Saccharomyces cerevisiae S288C: one gene and its partners. The gene in region 1 interacts genetically with each later gene. Each region holds a gene or a part of one and is shown in the gene's direction. Other genes may lie near its edges.

Evidence for each region. Genes that interact genetically often act in the same process or in processes that back each other up.
Region 2: mutations in FIT2 (region 1) and APA1 together harm fitness more than expected from each alone (negative genetic interaction), as found in Saccharomyces cerevisiae (one large-scale study listed by BioGRID).
Region 3: mutations in FIT2 (region 1) and YBL029W together harm fitness more than expected from each alone (negative genetic interaction), as found in Saccharomyces cerevisiae (one large-scale study listed by BioGRID).

Annotation. Positions count from the first base shown.
Region 1 is NC_001147.6:1,057,702-1,060,520, forward strand, and holds FIT2 (Fit2p), read left to right. Parts: upstream 1-1,829; coding exon 1,830-2,291; downstream 2,292-2,819. Other genes in the region: YOR381W-A (uncharacterized protein), read left to right, coding at 722-889; FIT3 (Fit3p), read right to left, coding at 2,740-2,819. UniProt on the Saccharomyces cerevisiae protein: Involved in the uptake of non-siderophore and siderophore sources of iron. Has a role in the retention of iron in the cell wall and periplasmic space.
Region 2 is NC_001135.5:37,311-40,794, reverse strand, and holds APA1 (bifunctional AP-4-A phosphorylase/ADP sulfurylase), read left to right. Parts: upstream 1-1,993; coding exon 1,994-2,959; downstream 2,960-3,484. Other genes in the region: YCL049C (uncharacterized protein), read left to right, coding at 71-1,009; LRE1 (Lre1p), read right to left, coding at 3,179-3,484. UniProt on the Saccharomyces cerevisiae protein: Ap4A phosphorylase catalyzes the phosphorolytic degradation of bis(5'-adenosyl) tetraphosphate (Ap4A) into ADP and ATP. Can also use other Np4N' nucleotides (where N and N' stand for A,C,G or U) as substrates with equal efficiency.
Region 3 is NC_001134.8:164,479-167,789, forward strand, and holds YBL029W (uncharacterized protein), read left to right. Parts: upstream 1-1,655; coding exon 1,656-2,786; downstream 2,787-3,311. Other genes in the region: YBL029C-A (uncharacterized protein), read right to left, coding at 10-294; YBL028C (uncharacterized protein), read right to left, coding at 3,040-3,311.

The DNA of each region.
Region 1 (2,819 bases):
TCACTATTTTACCTATCACAAGTATATATTTAATTGTTTTGACCTGAAACATAATTTATGTCTAGCTGCAATGAAGACAATTGATCGACTTTCACAAACTTTTTCAATCTACTAATCTTTGGAAGCATTTTTTAACTGTCTCCCACTCTTGTTCCATGACTTAAATTTCTCTTCCTCCAAATTAACTGAATTTTTTTTCTGGATTGATGTTCTTTCCAATTGTTGTGGTAATCCACAGCTGGTATAACATAAAAAGAAGTTTTTTGTAAAAAAAAAAAATTTCTCAGTAAGCATATAAGCCTCAGTGAAATAAAATTTTAACAACTACACGCTATTCTATTCCATTTGCCCTGCTTTTCTCGCTTCGTTATCACCTAACCACTAAGAACATACTAATAATACAAAATTTTTATCCACTTTTTACCAACAGATTTTCATGAAATATCCATCTTCTTTCCGAATTCTGTATAAAATGAAAGAGAGATTTTTTGCTCTCAATCCAGGCTCAAGGCTCTTGAGAACAGGTAATTGTTGTTTAGCACGTTTTCAACACATTTATCAGAAAACGACAGTTAAAAATAAGACGAGCGGCGTTATCATCCTGATAGTCACTAAATGAAAAGCAGGTACTTTTGAAGAGCACATGTAATATTTGCTCAACTGATAATACCTTCATTTTATACACACTTCTAATTTTTTTTTTAAAATCAGATACGCATTGATGTTCAATGTAGCATTACCATCACAAGACAAAAAATCAGAATTTTACAAGCAAAAGCGCTTATCTTTAAGGACCAACATATTAGATGAATTCTTAAGGGTTGCCAAAACGCAAGACAACAGGCAAAATAATTTCGTTTCTCAGTACCGAAATGACGAAATATACTGAGGCAAATGCGATCATCATGCCTTTGCGCCAAGAAACTCCCTTGTGAAGAACTTCAAACCGAAATGGGAAAACTTTGAGTTATTGACAGGGAATACGGAGGGGAAGATCACACTTAAATCCGTATGAGCCGCGCACATAATGGTATTCAAATACACAAGAACATTCATGAGCTATTTTTCATCCGTGCAAACGAATTTACTACAATTGGACCAGAGGGCACCATAACTGGAGACTTTGCTACTGACTCAACGTTGATGATGCGAGTAGTGGGTGTACTGTGATTTGCTCATTTTTTTTTTTATAGAAAGATTCGATTAATGAAAGTCACAGGAGACATTTTTACATAGACATTCCGTATATGTTGCGGGTATCGCGGATGCGGATTAGTGATGCCTTTAACTACATTTCATAGATTTCTGTATACCAATTGAAATGAGTGAAGTAAGCTCCTACAGTGAAATATCTGGGTGCTACTGACGCCAAGCCCTACAGCGATCGGAATGCGGGAACGGAAGTTAACGGGGCTTCCAGAACGGCGGAAGCGAATTGAACGAGGACGGCAAACAAAAACACCCAAAATTTCATTACTTAGAATGACCCTCAAGAGCAGGGTGCAATTTATCAAGCGATCATTGAACTAACTAAGTTCATATCCTGTATAGGATTTAAAACAATGCACCCTAAGTTCAAATGCACCCCCCCTCGCCCCGCAGCGGACCCTTGAACAGAGAACTGTTTCGAGGTTCACCCAATTGGATCACTTGTATAATTTGTAATCGAGTTCGGATAAGATGTATACGAATCTAACTGGGTGCAGTATAATTAGCATTTTATATTACCTAGCAATATATGTATAAAACAGGAATGTGTGCGTGCTTCAGGCAGAATTTTACGGTCCTTGTAAAAAAGTCTATCATAAAGCCATCACAAAACAATAATAATGAAATTCTCAACTATTTTCGGAGCTACTACAGTTATGACTGCCGTCTCGGCAGCAGCTGTGTCGAGTGTAATGACCACTAAGACTATTACTGCTACTAACGGTAATAACGTTTACACTAAGGTCGTTACCGACACCGCTGACCCTATCATTAGTTACAGTACCACTAGAACTGTCGTTGTCAGTAATAGTGATGCTACTTACACAAAGGTTGTCACCGAAGGACCAGATACCACCTCTGAAAAGAGTACAACAAAGACACTTACTTTGACAAACGGTTCAGGTTCATCAACCAACCTTTACACCAAGACCGTCACTCAAGCCGTCGAATCATCTACATCCTCCTCATCCTCCTCATCCTCCTCCTCCTCTTCTGCCTCTTCTTCTGGTGCTGCTCCTGCTGCATTCCAAGGAGCAAGTGTCGGTGCATTGGCCCTTGGTTTGATTTCTTACCTATTATAAGCTCGGTTTCAAACCAGAAAAAAGCTATTAGTTATCGTGTATAGCATATTTATAACTTATCTATGAAAAGCTAATATAATTGTCTTTCTCCTTCAAAAGGCTAGTAAAAAGGACTTTTTTTCATTACGTTTCTCAGTGACTTCAATGTAGCAGTTTTTCGTTTCATCATCATCATCGTATTATTATTATTGTTATTATTATTATTATCATTACTTTTATTAATATTAACTATTTTTTTAGTATGATTTCGGGTATATTTATTTTAATTAGATACTTTTAACCGTTTCAAACAATTAAAGGAAGACCAACGAACTTGAAACAGTATATATACATACATACTTAATGTGTGTTATTAAAATTTTTTTATTCTAACATAACTTCGAAAAAAGGCCAAGCCGCAAGGTGCTTCATAAAAATCGGATATCCCGCATGATTATTCACATATCATTTACAATAACATGACGGCAGCAAGGGCAGCACCCATCAAACCAGTACCAGCGGTGATGGCATCAGCAGCACCGGTGTAAC
Region 2 (3,484 bases), on another chromosome or scaffold:
GTCCCAATAGGAACCAAGCTATTGCAATTCCAGGGTTCAAGAGAGAAAAATCTGTAATCACTTCGAACCAATGTTTAGTAAATACCTCGTAACTGCATCTTCCCTCTTTGTGGCTTTGACCTCTGCAGCATCTACCGTTGATCTAGATGCTCTGCTTCTTCTACCAGGGGTCGAGTCCCACGACGGCGTTGATACTGTATTTTCGACCAAAGACTTTTATCAAGTGTCATTCGTCAAATCCATTGCTCCTGCTATCGTAAACAGCTCCGTAATCTTCCACGATGTTTCTCGTGGTGTGGCTATGGGCAATGTCAAGAGCAGAGCAAGTATCTTCAACCCAGAGGAAACGTATTACGATTGGGAACAGTACCAAGTAGTAAATAACGGAGACTGGCGAACCGAATGGGCACCTGCCTCTGACTGCATTTGGAGGGAGGAGAAGGATAACAGCGACGAAACACCGGACAGATTCCCCATCTCGGTGCCATATAATTGGACGTCACAGTACTCAATTGTAGATTATGACACAGACGCTAACGAAGACAATTTAGATTTCAGGTTTATTAAATCATTGCTAGATAAGAAAAATTGGTTGAAAAAAATTAACCAGACTGTTTCCCAATCCAGTATTATGGTAGCACCAATGATTAGGCCATACAATGTGGTCCAGCTTTGGTATTCAAAAGATATGGTTTGGGCAAACGTCCAAAGACAATATTGTAGCGGTGTTTATCCAGGAGGGACTCAATGTAGCGCTTGGTCCAGGTACTACCATGTTGATGCACCCACCTGCGATGAGCCTGTCGCCTCTTACATGACCAAAATGTTGGAAAATGAGGTTCAGTGTCCCAATGAGAGAAACGCAACTACCCTAGAGCCTCTCCGCCTGAATAAGCAGGGAGACTCTGATTTTTCTTTGACTTTCGAGGAAGAGGAAGAGGAAGAGACAGGATCTAAATCTCTTTGGAGTACATTGAAAAAAATTTTCTCTAAAAGAAGTATAAGTTGATCTTAGTTGGTAGCACTTTGATGAGGTCTCTAGCAAAAAGTCTACAAACAAATTCTTGAAAGTGTTTGATTGTATATCGATATATCAGAAACATACATATGATTTTTATCTTGTGAATATTCATCAAACTCCGTTTTTAGCCCCCGTGTAAGTTACTTTAATGAGTATTTGATCCTTTTTTTTATTGTGTTGGTTTTTATATGTTTTGTTATGTATTGTTTATTTTCCCTTTAATTTTAGGATATGAAAACAAGAATTTATCAAAGAAAAAAATCTTAGCTTTAAGAACTACAAAGTAAATAAAAAATAATAAATCACACCGGACAGTACATGAAACTGGACATATTTGAGGAATTTCTTTTGAAGAGTTGAGCATTCAAACTGGCCGGTCTTGCTGTGGCCTCAATCCACTTGAGCTCCAAAGAAGGCTCTGAAATGCTTATTTTTTTCAAGCGATACAAAGTAAACAGTTACATACCTGAATGATACTACCACAACTATTTACATTATCGTCCTGTCAAAAGGCGAATAATCAGAACTGTTTGTTAACATGTCATTTTATAAGAGCGGCCTGAAATACTGTCATAAGTGGTCTGTCGAAAGTAGTTATTACGGCGTCGGGCGTCGCGAATAGCTCAAAAGTCACCCCAGCTTACACGATATTCCCATAACCTACAGCAAGAAGCTATTCTTGGATACAAGCACCAGTTACAAGCACTGCATTCATATATTGCCTTTTACTTTCCTATTCTGTATTTGTGTGCTAAGTGTCCTGTTTCGGAACGTTCTAGAAGATTTTCTTATTTTTCTCTTTTTCAGTTTTTTTTTCATCACGCAAAGGAAATACAATACAAGGTTAAAATGAAGGAACTAACATTACTATTATTTCCAATTTAAAGTTTACCTTAAAAGACAATAGATTGATCTTGAAAGCCAGTTTAGATAGATTTTAGAACAAACAGAAAAGTAAAAATTAAAATAAAAATGAGTATCCCCGCTGACATTGCATCTTTAATTAGTGACAAGTACAAAAGTGCCTTCGATAATGGTAACTTAAAATTTATCCAGACTGAAACAACGAAAACAAAGGACCCAAAAACCAGCATGCCATACTTGATTAGTCACATGCCAAGTCTGATCGAAAAGCCAGAGCGTGGCCAAACTCCAGAAGGAGAGGATCCACTAGGCAAACCTGAGGAAGAATTAACGGTTATCCCAGAATTTGGTGGTGCCGATAACAAAGCGTATAAATTGCTATTAAACAAATTCCCTGTAATCCCTGAACACACTTTATTGGTAACTAACGAATACCAACATCAAACTGATGCCTTGACCCCAACCGATTTATTGACTGCTTATAAGTTGCTGTGTGCCTTGGACAATGAAGAATCCGACAAGAGACACATGGTCTTTTACAATTCTGGTCCAGCCAGTGGTTCTTCATTGGACCACAAACATTTGCAAATTCTGCAAATGCCTGAAAAGTTCGTCACTTTCCAAGATAGACTATGTAATGGTAAAGAACATTTCCTACCAACTTTCAATACTGAACCTTTGCAAGATGCTAAAGTCTCGTTCGCTCATTTTGTCTTGCCAATGCCGGAGTCTGAAGAAACTGTTGATGAAGACCTATTAGCTATGTGTTACATCTCCATATTGCAAAGAGCTTTGACCTTTTTCCAGGACTGGTTGAACGAAAATCCAGAACTAAAGAAATCCTACAATCTTATGTTAACCAAGGAATGGATCTGTGTCGTTCCACGCTCGAAGGCCTTTTCTGATGAAATGAAGATAGGTTTCAACTCCACAGGTTATTGTGGTATGATCTTAACCAAAAATGATGAAGTTTTCTCCAAGATTACTGAAAAACCTGAATTGATTAACGATATCTTATTGGAATGTGGTTTCCCAAACACTTCTGGTCAAAAACCAAACGAATACAACTATTGAGTCCTTCACAAGTACAAGTATACACGTATACATGTATGTATATATATGTATTTAAATGATAGAAGTAATTTCTATATGTATATGTCTATTCAATTTTTATTTCTGATGACTTTGAAATTTTATATTTATTATTCTACACTTTATTATTAAAACTACATGCAATCAATGCCGTTAAGGTTACGATTCACCTTTTTATTACTTATTATTAATATTGTTGTATTACTTCCTTGAAAAAATATGTCTAAAGAGTCCTAATTTGGATTTTCTTTTCCTCCTAACTTCACTGTCCTGCGCCTGCTTTCCTAACGCATCATCGCTAATACACCAGCTTTCATTGCTTGTTGCTGCGCTGTTGCTCGCATGGAACGTTTTCAGTGCGTCATCATCCTGGGATAAACTAAAGACTAAGTCACCAGTTTCATTTGAGGCTTTTCTCTGCGCGTTGACAAAAGAGGACAGATCAACCATATCACCTGGTTCACCCATGAGAATGTCCTTACTTAGTTGCGAATTGGTTCTGATCTG
Region 3 (3,311 bases), on another chromosome or scaffold:
ATTTCGTTATCAGTTGGGCTGCTTTTGTCGTAAGTTTTGTTGTTCTTGAATGACTTTATTAAGCTGTTCGTCATTCTTAAAATCTTGTCGCCAATTGCATATGGGGCAGTGCAACTGTTTTCCCCAGAAGACCGGAACCAACGGTATAAACCAAATAGTGAAAAATTCCTTTCTTTTTATGGGGCCGACACTATAATTGTGACAATTCGGGCAATACAGGTTTTGATGTCCGGGAACGGTATCGTATGAAGAGTCGAAACTCTTCATACCACATACAATAGGTATGAATGACATGGTAATTTTTTCTTTTTGAGGTTGTGTATTAAGTTGCTTATCTGATTTCACTTTACACCAATCTTCCTTGCTGACATTTATTCCCAACTTGTTCTTCAGCCGCTTGTTTTATAACGTACATTATTGTAAAAACGGAGTAGAAAGGGAAAAAGGGAAAGGGATGGACGTGGCTAATGCGCATCTTCGTTTGTGTGTATATCCTTTGATCTTCACTACATAATTTGTTACCCGACAATGCTTTTTTTTTTTTCTCAATTTTCATCTCTTTTCTTTTTCCTCATTTCTTATGAAAATCAGTGTGACTAAAATGAGACTTCGTATTTTTTGTAGAGGCACCATACGCCGGCTCCGCCGTCACCACATTCTCCCCTGCCGGTAAAGACCGGCGCACGCGGAAAAGGCGTACATAGCGTCGGGCGGTAACGGAGTCATTCCATCGCTGATAATTACCCCTTGCAGCAAACCCAGAGCCCTATTACGAATCTAGCCCATACACCGCGTTAGAGCACTCGCCGTTTTGCTCCGGGTCGTGCCGTCGTACATGCATACGCGTCCTGCAGGCATACCATAAGCCCACATACAATCACCTGTAGAAAGAAACAAAGCTTGTGTATGTAATCAAAGCAGAAATCTGATGGGTTCGAACGACTTCGTTATAGAAATATTATCTTTGGGTCTCGTCCTGCGTTATTCCTCCTGTCTCCTGCCGCTTTGATAACCTTTTCATTCCTCCCCTTAACTTGTTATTTCGTGTTACGATATTGGGTAACTTAGTAGCGTAAATGGTAAAATGTAGGGACTCAATCTCATAGGTGGTTATGTTTTTCGTTCTCATTTTTCAAATCTGTGACTTCACAGACAAAACGCGTAGTGATTTCTTTATCTGAATGAGCCTTCGAAAAAAAAAACAACGATTTCTTATGCAGTTAGTCGGCCAGTTGGTTATTGACTATCTGTGCGATTCCCCTTCCTGCATAAAAATAAACACAATCTTAATACGCCATACGTTGACTCCATTTTTTGCTCGTTTCATTATATTATCTTCCCATGCCGCTCCTGCGTGGGATTCCCTTTATTATAACTTTTAAGGTTTCTACCCACATATATGCAATTTTTATCATGTTTTTCTCTTTTTTTTTTTTTTTTTTTTTTTTCTCTCTTTGTTGTGTTTTCGAGAAAAAGTTCAATTGTTTAAAAGGAATTAAGCAAATTATATATATGCGACTGTTGGTTTCCAGTTCTAATCTGTACTCTTTTTTTTGAATTTGCACTGTTATCTCCTTTTATACTTGCGTGTTAATCTTGTATTAGGCAAAAGCTTAGTCGTAATATATAGAGATTATAAAACCAAAATAAAGCTAATGTGCGCCAATATCCCCGAATTCGACTCTTTTTACGAAAATGAAAATATAAATTACAACTTGGAATCATTCGCACCTTTAAATTGTGATGTTAATTCGCCCTTTCTCCCCATTAATAACAATGACATCAACGTTAATGCTTATGGTGACGAAAATTTAACGTACTCCAACTTTTTACTGTCTTATAACGATAAGCTGGCTACTACAACTGCTAAAAACAATAGCATTAATAATAGTAATAGTAATAATAATAGTAATAATAATAAAAATAATAATAATAATCATAATAATAATAATCTACTCGGTAATGACATCAGTCAGATGGCCTTTTTACTCGATTACCCTTCTACTCTCAACGAACCGCAATTTGCCGTAAATTGTAAAGACATTTACAGAAAGGATATATCAACGCCTTCGTCATTAGTTTCGAGTCTGCCACCTGCAAAGTTTTCGTTATCCCTATCGAATTCGCCTTCTCCGCCACCACCATCGTCGTCCTCTTTGAAACATGGGGAAGCAATAATTTCTAATACCAGCGAAAGCAGTGACATATTTGCCGATCCTAATTCGTTTGAAAAGGATACTATGCCCCTAACGCAAGAACTGACGCTAGAAAATCTAAATAATCAATTAAACTATCCCGATTTCACGATAAACGCCATCGAGCAGGATCCTGCCCCTTCGTCTTTTTCATCCTCATCTTCGTCTTCGGAGTCAACGGTCTCTTCCAGCAGGAAGAGGAAGCCCTGTCATGATTCCTACACACATTCTTCACCCTCTTCCTCAGAGTCTAAGAAAATTTCCGACTCGAGATTATCCGCCGAAGGTTTAGCCAAAGTGCTTAATTTAGAATCCCCCGAAGAAGCTTTAAAAAGAGAACGCTTTATATTGGGTATTTTCCAGAATGAATTAAATTACCCGCTAGGTTACAAAACGTGGATTAGGGATACTACAAAAGAATATAGGACAAAGTTAATCAATCAACTGCACGAACGAGTAAAGGTAAAGTACCCCGAATACAACCAGTCCATACTGGAAACAATAATTAGACGAGGCACCTACTACATGATGCAGAGTAGGTTAAGAAGAGAGAGGAGAATGAAGCTTAAGGAACGTAAAAGAACAACCTAATTTTATTACCCAAAAAAAAAAATGCATTATATATTTCATCCATATATAGAACACACTTACTCACATAAAAGACAAATATATAAAAGTGAACCGGTTTTCATATCATCACCCTCTGTTGTCCTTTCAACTCTTAAATTGTCTAGGAAGAGATAAAGCACGGTGAAGAATAAAAATAACGTCGGAATTTTAGTATGGTACATAATTAAAAATTTTACAACCTAGCTCCTATCAAGTTCTTATTACCTTCATTTTATCAGAATCTGGTGAAAGAAGTTTTTTTCTTAGATTGTTTCATCAGCTTAGCCTTTTTATAAGTGTGATGTCTACCGTCTCTCCAACCAGAGGTGCTGATTTTTTTTCTGGGAGCTTCTTCATTGGATTTTTTCTCGTCGACATCCATGTCAATTCCTTGCTCTTCTTTCTTTTTTAGATCTTCTAATTTTTGCTTTAGTAAGTCTTCCTTTAGTTTATCGGATATTCTTTGTTCACGTGCATCTACTGCTTTTTGGAAAACGCCACGTCTTT